Schizosaccharomyces pombe: one gene and its partner. The gene in region 2 interacts genetically with the main gene of each other region. Each region holds a gene or a part of one and is shown on either strand. Other genes may lie near its edges.

The links.
Region 1: of rdh54 (region 2) and bqt1, changing one enhances a phenotype caused by changing the other (phenotypic enhancement), as found in Schizosaccharomyces pombe (one study listed by BioGRID).

The regions. Positions count from the first base shown.
Region 1 is NC_003424.3:3,271,504-3,274,498, forward strand, and holds bqt1 (bouquet formation protein Bqt1), read right to left. Parts: upstream 1,197-2,995; coding exon 914-1,196; intron 865-913; exon of another isoform or gene 763-864; coding exon 647-762; 3' UTR 595-646; downstream 1-594. Other genes in the region: CHS5-like protein Cfr1, read left to right, coding at 1-594; puf4 (RNA-binding protein), read left to right, coding at 2,632-2,995.
Region 2 is NC_003424.3:702,141-708,806, reverse strand, and holds rdh54 (ATP-dependent DNA translocase Rdh54), read right to left. Parts: upstream 5,115-6,666; 5' UTR 5,019-5,114; coding exon 4,840-5,018; intron 4,793-4,839; coding exon 4,694-4,792; intron 4,603-4,693; coding exon 4,527-4,602; exon of another isoform or gene 4,486-4,526; coding exon 4,271-4,485; exon of another isoform or gene 4,235-4,270; coding exon 4,044-4,234; intron 3,992-4,043; coding exon 3,918-3,991; intron 3,883-3,917; coding exon 3,751-3,882; exon of another isoform or gene 3,713-3,750; coding exon 3,649-3,712; exon of another isoform or gene 3,613-3,648; coding exon 3,514-3,612; exon of another isoform or gene 3,475-3,513; coding exon 3,317-3,474; exon of another isoform or gene 3,279-3,316; coding exon 3,206-3,278; exon of another isoform or gene 3,171-3,205; coding exon 2,555-3,170; exon of another isoform or gene 2,516-2,554; coding exon 2,446-2,515; exon of another isoform or gene 2,404-2,445; coding exon 2,155-2,403; exon of another isoform or gene 2,120-2,154; coding exon 1,979-2,119; 3' UTR 1,964-1,978; coding exon of another isoform or gene 1,334-1,963; 3' UTR 817-1,333; downstream 1-816. Other genes in the region: SPOM_SPAC1296.01C (phosphoacetylglucosamine mutase), read left to right, coding at 1-639, 680-752; DNA-binding transcription factor Atf31, read left to right, coding at 1,334-1,963; mug62 (putative AMP binding enzyme), read left to right, coding at 6,052-6,204, 6,250-6,666.

The DNA of each region.
Region 1 (2,995 bases), 2.6 Mb from region 2:
AACGTGAACGAAGAAAACAATACCCCGGAGACTGAAGGACTTGAAGATGAAAAAGAAGAAAATAATACAGCCGCTGAATCTTTAATCAATCAAGAAGAAACTACCTCCGGTGAAGCAGTTACAAAGAGTACTGTTGAATCCTCAGCGAATGAGGAAGAAGCTGAACCTAACGAAATAATTGAAGAGAACGCTGTTAAATCTTTATTGAATCAAGAAGGACCTGCAACTAACGAAGAGGTTGAAAAAAACAATGCTAATTCTGAAAATGCGAATGGCTTGACAGATGAGAAAATAATCGAAGCCCCTTTAGATACTAAGGAAAATTCAGACGATGATAAGCCATCTCCCGCAGCAGCTGAAGATATTGGTACTAACGGTGCAATTGAGGAAATCCCTCAAGTTTCTGAAGTCTTAGAGCCAGAAAAAGCGCATACTACTAACTTGCAACTGAATGCGCTCGATAAAGAAGAAGATCTAAATATTACTACAGTTAAGCAAAGTTCGGAACCTACGGCTGATGACAATCTAATACCCAACAAAGAAGCAGAAATTATACAATCTTCTGACGAGTTTGAAAGTGTAAACATTGATTAATGACATTGATCTCTTGTATTCTGCAGTCTTTTTTTTTTCTTATGTTTATATGTTAACATTCTACGAATATCCTCCACTTTTCCAATCGTTTGACTAAAGGCACATGGGAACCATTTTGAACTGTAATGCTCTGGTATCCTTGCAGTCTTCTAGACCATGGAAGTACATCTAAACTCATTTAGCATTAGTAAATATATAGCTTCGGATTTTTTTTTCGTTCTCTAATAAATTTTTTTTTTTAAATTAAATCAACTAGGTCAAAAATGGGTAATGGGAGGTTTTGAAATTATGTTTCATTATACTGATAGACAGAACTTACAATATCGTAGTTTGAAATTCGTGCTGGCGTCTTCTTCCATATGTATCAATGATTCTTTATTTTGACCTTGGCAAAGCAAAGCGAATTGCCATATATTCGGAAATATCGAGTATAAATATTCTATCCTTTCAATTGAAACTTGAATAAGGCTGTGTTTTAAAAATCTAGCATGCTCACAGTTTGAATCAGTGCATACAGGTGTTTGAGTATAAATCGCGATTTGGGTTAAATATTCTACTTTGTTTTGTTCAAAAGAAATAAGCGTCGTAGTTAATAAATGCATTTTGTTTAAATCAGTATCATTTAGGATGGGTGAAAGGATTTTTTTTTAAAACGCGTCGTTTGTAGAAGAAGAGGTGCATAAAATATGAACACACCACATATAATAATAAGAGGATAGACATTAAAGCCAACAACCTATTAAAAGTGTAAATTTGAAATCAAAAAAGATTAAAAAAAAGAATAGGAATCGACTTCTTTTACACAAAGAAATCCACACCTATTTGATATTAGCTTGGACATCCTCTATTGACGACTGCATTTTCTGATAGCACAAACAAGACTTTTTCAGACTTAAATGAAAATTAAATAAACCAACAGTGGGTTTTTTAGGGAAACCTAAAAATTCAGAGAATCTTAAGCAAGTTCTCTGTTTTGCTTTACATAACAATCTTTAACGCCCACAACGTTGTAAAGATATCACCTATAAAAATAAAAAAATTACGCTTTTGAGGAATAGATGTGCTTTTTTATACATATGTTTATTCAAAATACAGCTCACTGTCTTAATCTGCTAAAGTAGTAGACCTTGTTTACCTATCATCTTTAGAGTGCATTAAGCAGTTGTTAAGCGAAAATTGCGTCATCTATTAGTGAGCCTCTGTTTACAAGTTGACGGCTGTTTATGAGTTTTGAAGAAGGAATCCAAAAATAAATTTGATTTTCACTGAAAATCTATGAAATAAATATGTAGCGACTAATCATACACAACAATTGTATCAAGTTGCCGACATAAAAATACCAGCTGGCTCAACCTTTATAGATACTTTTGAAGAGCTCTTATAAGCATTAATTAATGTTCGAATGATGTAGTTATTGCTTAAAAAAAAGAACCGCCTGGCGTTATTCTCGAGTAAAAGTAAAATCAACATGTGCAACGAAGGAATGGATGCACTGACTGCCGTCAATTTCTCTCAGCCGTCCTCCCAATAAAAATCATTAAGACATGTTATTAAAAACATTAAAAGGCATACCAACGGGTGTTGTATCTTACAAATCACCTCATGGGATCTGTTTTTTGTCAAACTACGGCATTACGCCTTACAAGAAAAAATGTAGAGAGTGAAACGAAACTGAATTGGGATGATTCTTAGCATTTAAAAAAATTGTTTTTGTCTTCGAAGCACAAATTTCACATTTTCTCTTTTTTTTCAAATCCTTCCTGCTTCTTCCTTAGTAAGTTGCGTTACCCGTAGTGTTACCTGCTGTCGGTACAATACATCTCACAGTAAGCATGGTTTCCACTCCACACACTGTACAGTCGCCTGCTTAAAGTAAAGTAGAGGTTGTGTTTTTTGTGTTGTATCGTTCTTCTCTACATCTTTTTGTTTGTATCGGGACAGGAAATAGTTTGGGAAAAATCCCCCACTAAGAACAATTTATCCCACGGACTGTTAATATATGACAACAGGTAATCCTTCGCAAAACATAAGCGTAGCATGACCGAGCAGTCTTCTAAATCTCATCCATCCTTTATGTCTACAGAATATTCGCTTCCAGTCTTTTCTTCACAGTACTCTGATATTGAGAATAAAGATGTATTGAAATCGAATTCTTGGGATCCATATGCCGCTAATGCGCCGATTGCTTTGTCTGAGATCCCTTCATCTTCTAAATCCGGAAAAACAAATGGTTCAAAAGCCGCTGTGGAAAGCGGTTTGGCATCCGGCGCTTTCGGAAACCGTACTGGGAACATGAACCGGAATACTAGCATGAGTGGATACACGTTCGGATCTTCGAATTTCGTTCCCTATAACCTTCTTTCTAACACTCCTTCTTTCACTACTTCTCACTCTTCATCAA
Region 2 (6,666 bases):
CAGCTTTCATCTGTTAGATGGTGACAAAATATGCGCTTTATTTGCCCAATTTCTAATCGACCTAATCCGTTCTACTGGTTTGGACCTTCAAGTTGGTATTGTTCAGACTGCTTATGCAAATGGAGCCAGCACGGCATTTTTCCAAAAAACTTTAAAGGTACCGGTTTTATGTGTGTCTCCCGGTCTTAAGCATCTTTACCATGCTGCTCAAGCTTACGATGTTGGAGTATTTTTTGAAGCAAATGGTCATGGTACAATTTTAGTCTCTCATGCTGCATTATCAAAGATAATTTCTCATGAAGTATTGTCTCCAGCCCAATTTAATGCCTTAAAAACTCTAAAAACAGTCTTTGAATTGATTAATCAAACTGATGGAGATGCTATTACTAATTTACTTTTGGTGGAAGTCATTTTGGCTCACAAAAATTGCACTTTGAAAGAGTGGAATCAGCTATATAGCGAAATTCCTAGTCGTCTAATTCGCTGTGAAGTAGAAGACCGGTCAATTTATACTACTACTGATGCCGAACAAAAACTAGTAACACCGGAAGGACTTCAAGAAAAAATTGACGCTTTGGTAGCAAAATACACGGGCGGTCGGGCATTTGTTCGATCATCTGGAACCGAGGATGCTGTTCGGTAAGTTCAATGTTAATTATCATTCTAACTCTAATTGTAGTGTGTATGCGGAAGCTAGTTCAAGGGGTGAATCTGAGGATTTAGCCCTCCGCATTGTTGAACTATTACATTAAACAATTTTTAAATTTAAATGTTAATGACTAAATTGGTTATGATGGAACTGTCTTGTTTAATGTTGTTTTTAGGGATATCTAGTAATAATTTTGGTTACCCAAATTCTTATATAATATCTAACAAAAATATGTGCATACATATGCGAATATACTTGTATACAGTTTGTTGATAGTAATTTTTTAAAATAACCAGGCATTATAATTTTGTTGTTGTGTTCACAAGAAAAAGTGTTTGTTTACATGGACTTCCTCACAATGCTTGAATTTAATATTCCCTCATAAAGGACTTATATAAACCTCGCGTGAGCAAACAAACGCTCATATTTGTATCAAGCTGTTATAAAGGATATTGACGGAAAGTTCAATAATTCACCTATTTACCAGTTAATCGGCATTATCCAGCTGTACAAATTTTATCGTTTATAGTGATCACTTTGAAATCGATTATTAAAAGAAGTTGGTGCCAAAAACTCATAAAAAAAATCAAATATATAATTCTACTCGTTTGCGAAAAAGAAGTCTTTCATAAGACGCTATAAATTTTTCTTAAAAAAATTATTGATCAATAAATCATTTTCAGCATGACCTACGAAACAAATACACCAACCGAGGAATCCATTATTCCGAAGCATGAAGATGGAGAAGAATACAACTCAATTTATCTTTCTCGTTTCGAAAAAGACATCTCAATTTCCCAAACCCTCGATTTTTCACAATTTATGCAAACTCAGATTTTATTGACAGCCAAACGTAAAGCTTTAGAGCTCGGCGACGATCGATCCCCTATTAACAATGATCCATATAATATCAGGAGAAGCGATTTTGATGAATTATCAGAATACACTGCCTCTAAAAGCCCCAGTATAATTTCCGAGGCTTCACACAACTCACCATCACGAGAGCTGGATGACTCAGGTGATGAAAACACTTCCAAATTAACTGGAACTAAGCAGTCAATGTTGAAAGCCAGAAACAGACAAGCTGCCCAAAAGTGTAGGATAAAAAAGAAAAAGTACTTACAAACATTACAAGACCAAGTCAACTACTACACTTCTGAAAACAAGGAGCTTTTGCAAAGTGCTAATGATTTAAGAGAAGAAATAATTAAACTGAGAACCTTGGTGTTTGCTCATAGAGATTGCCCAGTATCGAAGGCTTGCTCAAAAGCGTTGTTTCTAATGGGCAAGGAAAAACCGCTTACGCCTCCTTAAAAGTCCGAAATAGATCTATTCGAACTTTTTATGCATTAGACAGTTGATAGGTAAAGGCTCAAGAGGGATATAATCTTCTACGCCATTCATAATACTTAGGTCATTCGGAAATTGCCAAGTCCATCCTTGAAATGCGTTCTCTGGACACTTTTTCCCCTGGCCATTAATATTAGGATGAAAATACAACTTACCAAATTAGTATCCATATATTCAGAAGCCTTTTTCCAAGAACTGATTTCTTTATCTTTTTCCTTCGTATTTGGGGAATCAATCGTATGGTCAATTTTAGTTAACGGATCTTTTTTCTTTGTTAATGAATCAATTTCATCAGAATCAAATGCTAATTCATATGTCAAGCAAGTTTCAGTTTTTGAATATGAAAAAAGTGTCTTGATGTCTTCACCCGTAAAAAAATTCTTCTTTTGGCTTGCATCGGAATCCTACAATCAAGTCAGTATAAAATTTTATAATAAATCACATACTATGAACGAACTTGAAAGCCCTTGCTTAGTATTTTGGCGAATAAAAATGCGCTCATCTAGCATTCCACTGCTGCATAACTTAATATGTTATTCGTAAAAGCGGTCGTACCTTAAAAATGTGTATATACAGACTGGCCGCTTTTGCCCGCTTCTATATATCCTTGACAATGCTTGCAAATCTTGGGCAGGGTTCCAACTTGGTTCGTAAATTATTAACCTAGTGGATCCGGTAAGATTTAAACCGCAGCCACCAGCTTTGCTTGAAAGTAAAAGCACACTAAATTCTTTGAAGCTGGAAGTATTGAAATTGTGTACTATTAAATCACGCTCAGAGAAAGGAGTACTTCCAAGCAATTTACAGAAACGGACATGCAAAATTGATAAAAACAATTCAATCAACTCGAGAGTTTCTTTATATTGGGACACAATAACAGCTTTTTGGCAACCCCTTTGGAAACTTTTAAGTAGCGCAGCCAATATTTGCAGTTTGCTAGAGGAGAGCAACATATTCTCTTGCTCGAATACATGCTTATCTTGCAACTCCGTTGACAAAAAATTTTCCTTTTCATTTCTCAATAAAATGGTGCTATTGCATATCTTGCTCAAGCGAGTCAAAATTTTAAGATAATAGCCCTTCTGATCAACGCTTGACTTGAAACCATCGAGAACATGTCCATAAACATTCTCTTGTTGATGTGTTGGTTTTATGAATAAAACAATGTCGGCTATTATGTTAATACTGATTTTAATATTTGCATACTTCTTGGCGGTAAATGTTTAGCCAGTATATTGGCTTTCCTCCTTAACGTGAAATTGCTTGTAAATTCAAAAAGCTAAAAATCAGTATAAAATTTATCTTTAGTAAACAAACCCTTTGAAGTCTTGCAGCTCCCAATGATATGTCCCTAGAGGAAGCATTCATTGATCTACTCCTTAATATAGGCCGCTCATACTGAGCTTTAAAAGAATTTGGGGTCCCCAGAGATCCAGGAATTATAAAGTTAACCATAGAGAAATATTCTGACAAATCTGAGCGGTTAAAATTAAATAGCATTCACTGATTCATACCGTTTTGTAAAGGCGTACCAGTGAGAAGAAGCCTCTTTCTAGTTTTTAGCTTATTCAGCGTAATCCAAGTCTGACTACTCATGGACTTCAAGCGGTGAGCTAAGATTAATAAACTATTTATGAACAAATCAATACCTTCGTCGCAAATTAGAAGATCAATATCAATCCCGCATCCATAGTTTCTCAAGTACGTACAAACCTTTAGCAATTAGAAAAAAGAATAAATAAAGGAATTACCGTTTCATATCCTGTAATGATAATCGAATAAGTTTTGTTCGACGTAAATTCTTGGAAATCTTCAGCGCATCTAGCTATATAAACATGAATACGCTCGTGACCGAGCCAATTATAAAACTCATTTTCCCAATTCTAGCCATTAGTAATGAAGTTTTGAAACTTCTTACCTTCAAAAGAGTGACAGGTGCTACGACCATTGCATTGTTTATAGTCGAAGAACGATTGGCGTAATAAGACTGCTCTAAATAATAAGATTAGAGAATGAAAGTTAAAAAAAACCCTAAGTCTCATACTCAATAAAGTCCAGACAACTGTTATAGTTTGCAACGTTTTTCCTAAGCCCATTTCATCAGCCAAAATTGCACTATATCCACATTTTCCTTCCATTCCTAATAAACAGTCGTAAAGAAAGGAAACTCCTTCCCGCTGATGAGAATAAAGATGCTTTGAAAGGAAAGGATCAATAACAACATCTACATGCGTCCTGTAATGTTAGATCAAGCATTCACTTTTACCATACCTTGGATCCCAAGTCTTGGGCCTGCTCATCACCAAAGCTCCAAGCACAGTAGGATCATGCCTCGGTTTGGGTAGTGCTGATATTGTCTGGTACATTGTGTTAGGTCTCAAAGGTGGCTTGAATTTACGCTTCATTTCAGGCATATGAACGTCTCGGAGAGAATCATCTATATGTGTGCCTGCTTCATAACTTTCTGCAGAGATTTCCTTCTCAATCTAAAGATGATGAGAAACATTCGCTTACATGTATATCTTACAGATATTTCTTTCCCGGAAATGCGAAGCAATTCTCCTTCTTTGATTTGTGGCACCCTCGAATGACAGGATCCGAGTCTTTAACATATATTAATAAAAAATATCTCTCAATAAAAGATGCTATATTGTTTGCGACTTCATTTTTAGTAAGTTCGACATGTAGGAATACCTTGTAAAATCTGAATTATAAAGAGTCAAATTTGAGTCTTCTCTAACGAGAAAGCCATCCCCTTCCCATGTTTTATGTTTCTTCATAGTAATTTTTCTCCTGACGCGTTTAGTCATGAAGTCAAAAAAGAGATTGTGCTACCATACCATACAACATTGTAATAAGCAATTTTGTTTATGTCGATATTTGATTTTCCTTTATGTTCATTTGCATTTTCAGATACTTCGTGTGAGGTAGTTGCTGTTTCTGTTTTGGTATAATTAGTAGATTGATGTTTTATGGTAGATTCAATTAATGGACATTGAAAAGTAGCTCTTCGTTTCATGTTCAGATTTCAGTTTTAATAAAGTAAGGTTTCAATTCTCTTTGGTAACTGTGTTTATTTACTCAACAATACTATGAGACCGAACGTGTGGTGTTCAAGTTAGACAAATGCAAGCAGTTCTGAAGCATGCGCGTAAAAATCGGTTAGTAATATTTTGCACTTCTAGGTACAATCATCATTTTGAACGTAATAAACATTAATAGTATCACACGTACTAAATTAAGGTCTCTTGCTTCTGTTCATATAATTTTTTTTATTACTAATTAACTTTCATCATGTTAAAGCAAAAAAGGCGGCAATTTGTAACTTATCATTAAATTTATAGCGTAAAATGTTTTAAATTAAATAAATTATCTACAATTTGCAAGAATGAATTCCCGCAAAATGTTTCTATTCAGGTATTGTTTCTTTTGACTAACAAGAACAGTTTCTGAAAGGTAGAATAAACAGCGATGAATATGGGGGTATTCAACTAAATTTGTCCATTGTTATCAACAAAATTTGCGAATGTTTACTTTTAATTAAACAAAGTTAGCGCATAATGCTTAGCCTGTTGTTATCACTTTTTTCTCAATCGTTATTAGTAAAGACAGGTTTCTTAGTTAATAAATTATATTAATTAGTACTGTTAGTTGTATGTTGCATCTGTAGTCTAGTGGTTATGATTTCTGCTTTACACGCAGACGGTCCCAGGTTCGATCCCTGGTAGATGCATCTTTTTTCGAAAAGCTGATACAATCCAACTTTTTGCGTTCTAATATGTATAAAAAAGATTGGTATTTACTGTTAATTTTGTAAAATTAATTGCGCACATAAATGAATAATGATGGGGAACAGGGATAGAGCATAGTCTTTCTAAATTTTTAAATTGAATTAGGATTTGTAAACTTAGTACACTTTTACTTCATTCAATGTTATTGTTTATCCTTAGTGAAGTCAATCAGGTAACAGGTAACATAAGCGATTTGTTTACATTTCTCATACAAGCTTTGGAATCCTCAATTCCTAACTGTATGCGAACGTGAGCCATAAAATGAGTCTAAAATCATTTTTCAACTTCAATAAGAAGACAAAACTGCATGACATAGAAGAGGATGTTATATCTGAAATTGGTTCTGCTGGTTCAGCCCTTCGAACAGATGCGCATATGCTGAAAGCAAACGATGTCTATTATAAAAGTGAAACGGTAAGAGTAATATAAAAAAAAATTACTAAATGCAAAAATTTCAAGGATAGTCATACTGTGCTGAGATTTATGAAACCTTCAGAAAACGAAAAAATCCATCCCGTAAGGCATTCGAAATATGAAGATAAAAGCAAGTTGCCTTTTGAGACAATACCAGACCCAGTGTTAAAATATGTGAAAAGAGCAAGGGATGCAGAGCTGCAACCACAATTGGCCAAAGTATCTCAGAAGCTGTTTGCAGATATATCAACTGCCACAGCAGCTGAAAAACTACAATTCACAGTTCCACGTAGAGCCAGATTTGAAATTAATGATCCACGAAATCCAACATTTTCAATGATGGCGCTGCAGGATATTATATCTGTCCTTGAGTATCGAAGAAATAAAAATCCAACTTCTACTGCTCATATTTGTATCGATAAAAAAGGGAAAGAAGCTGTGAGTTACAGTTGGGATAAAATC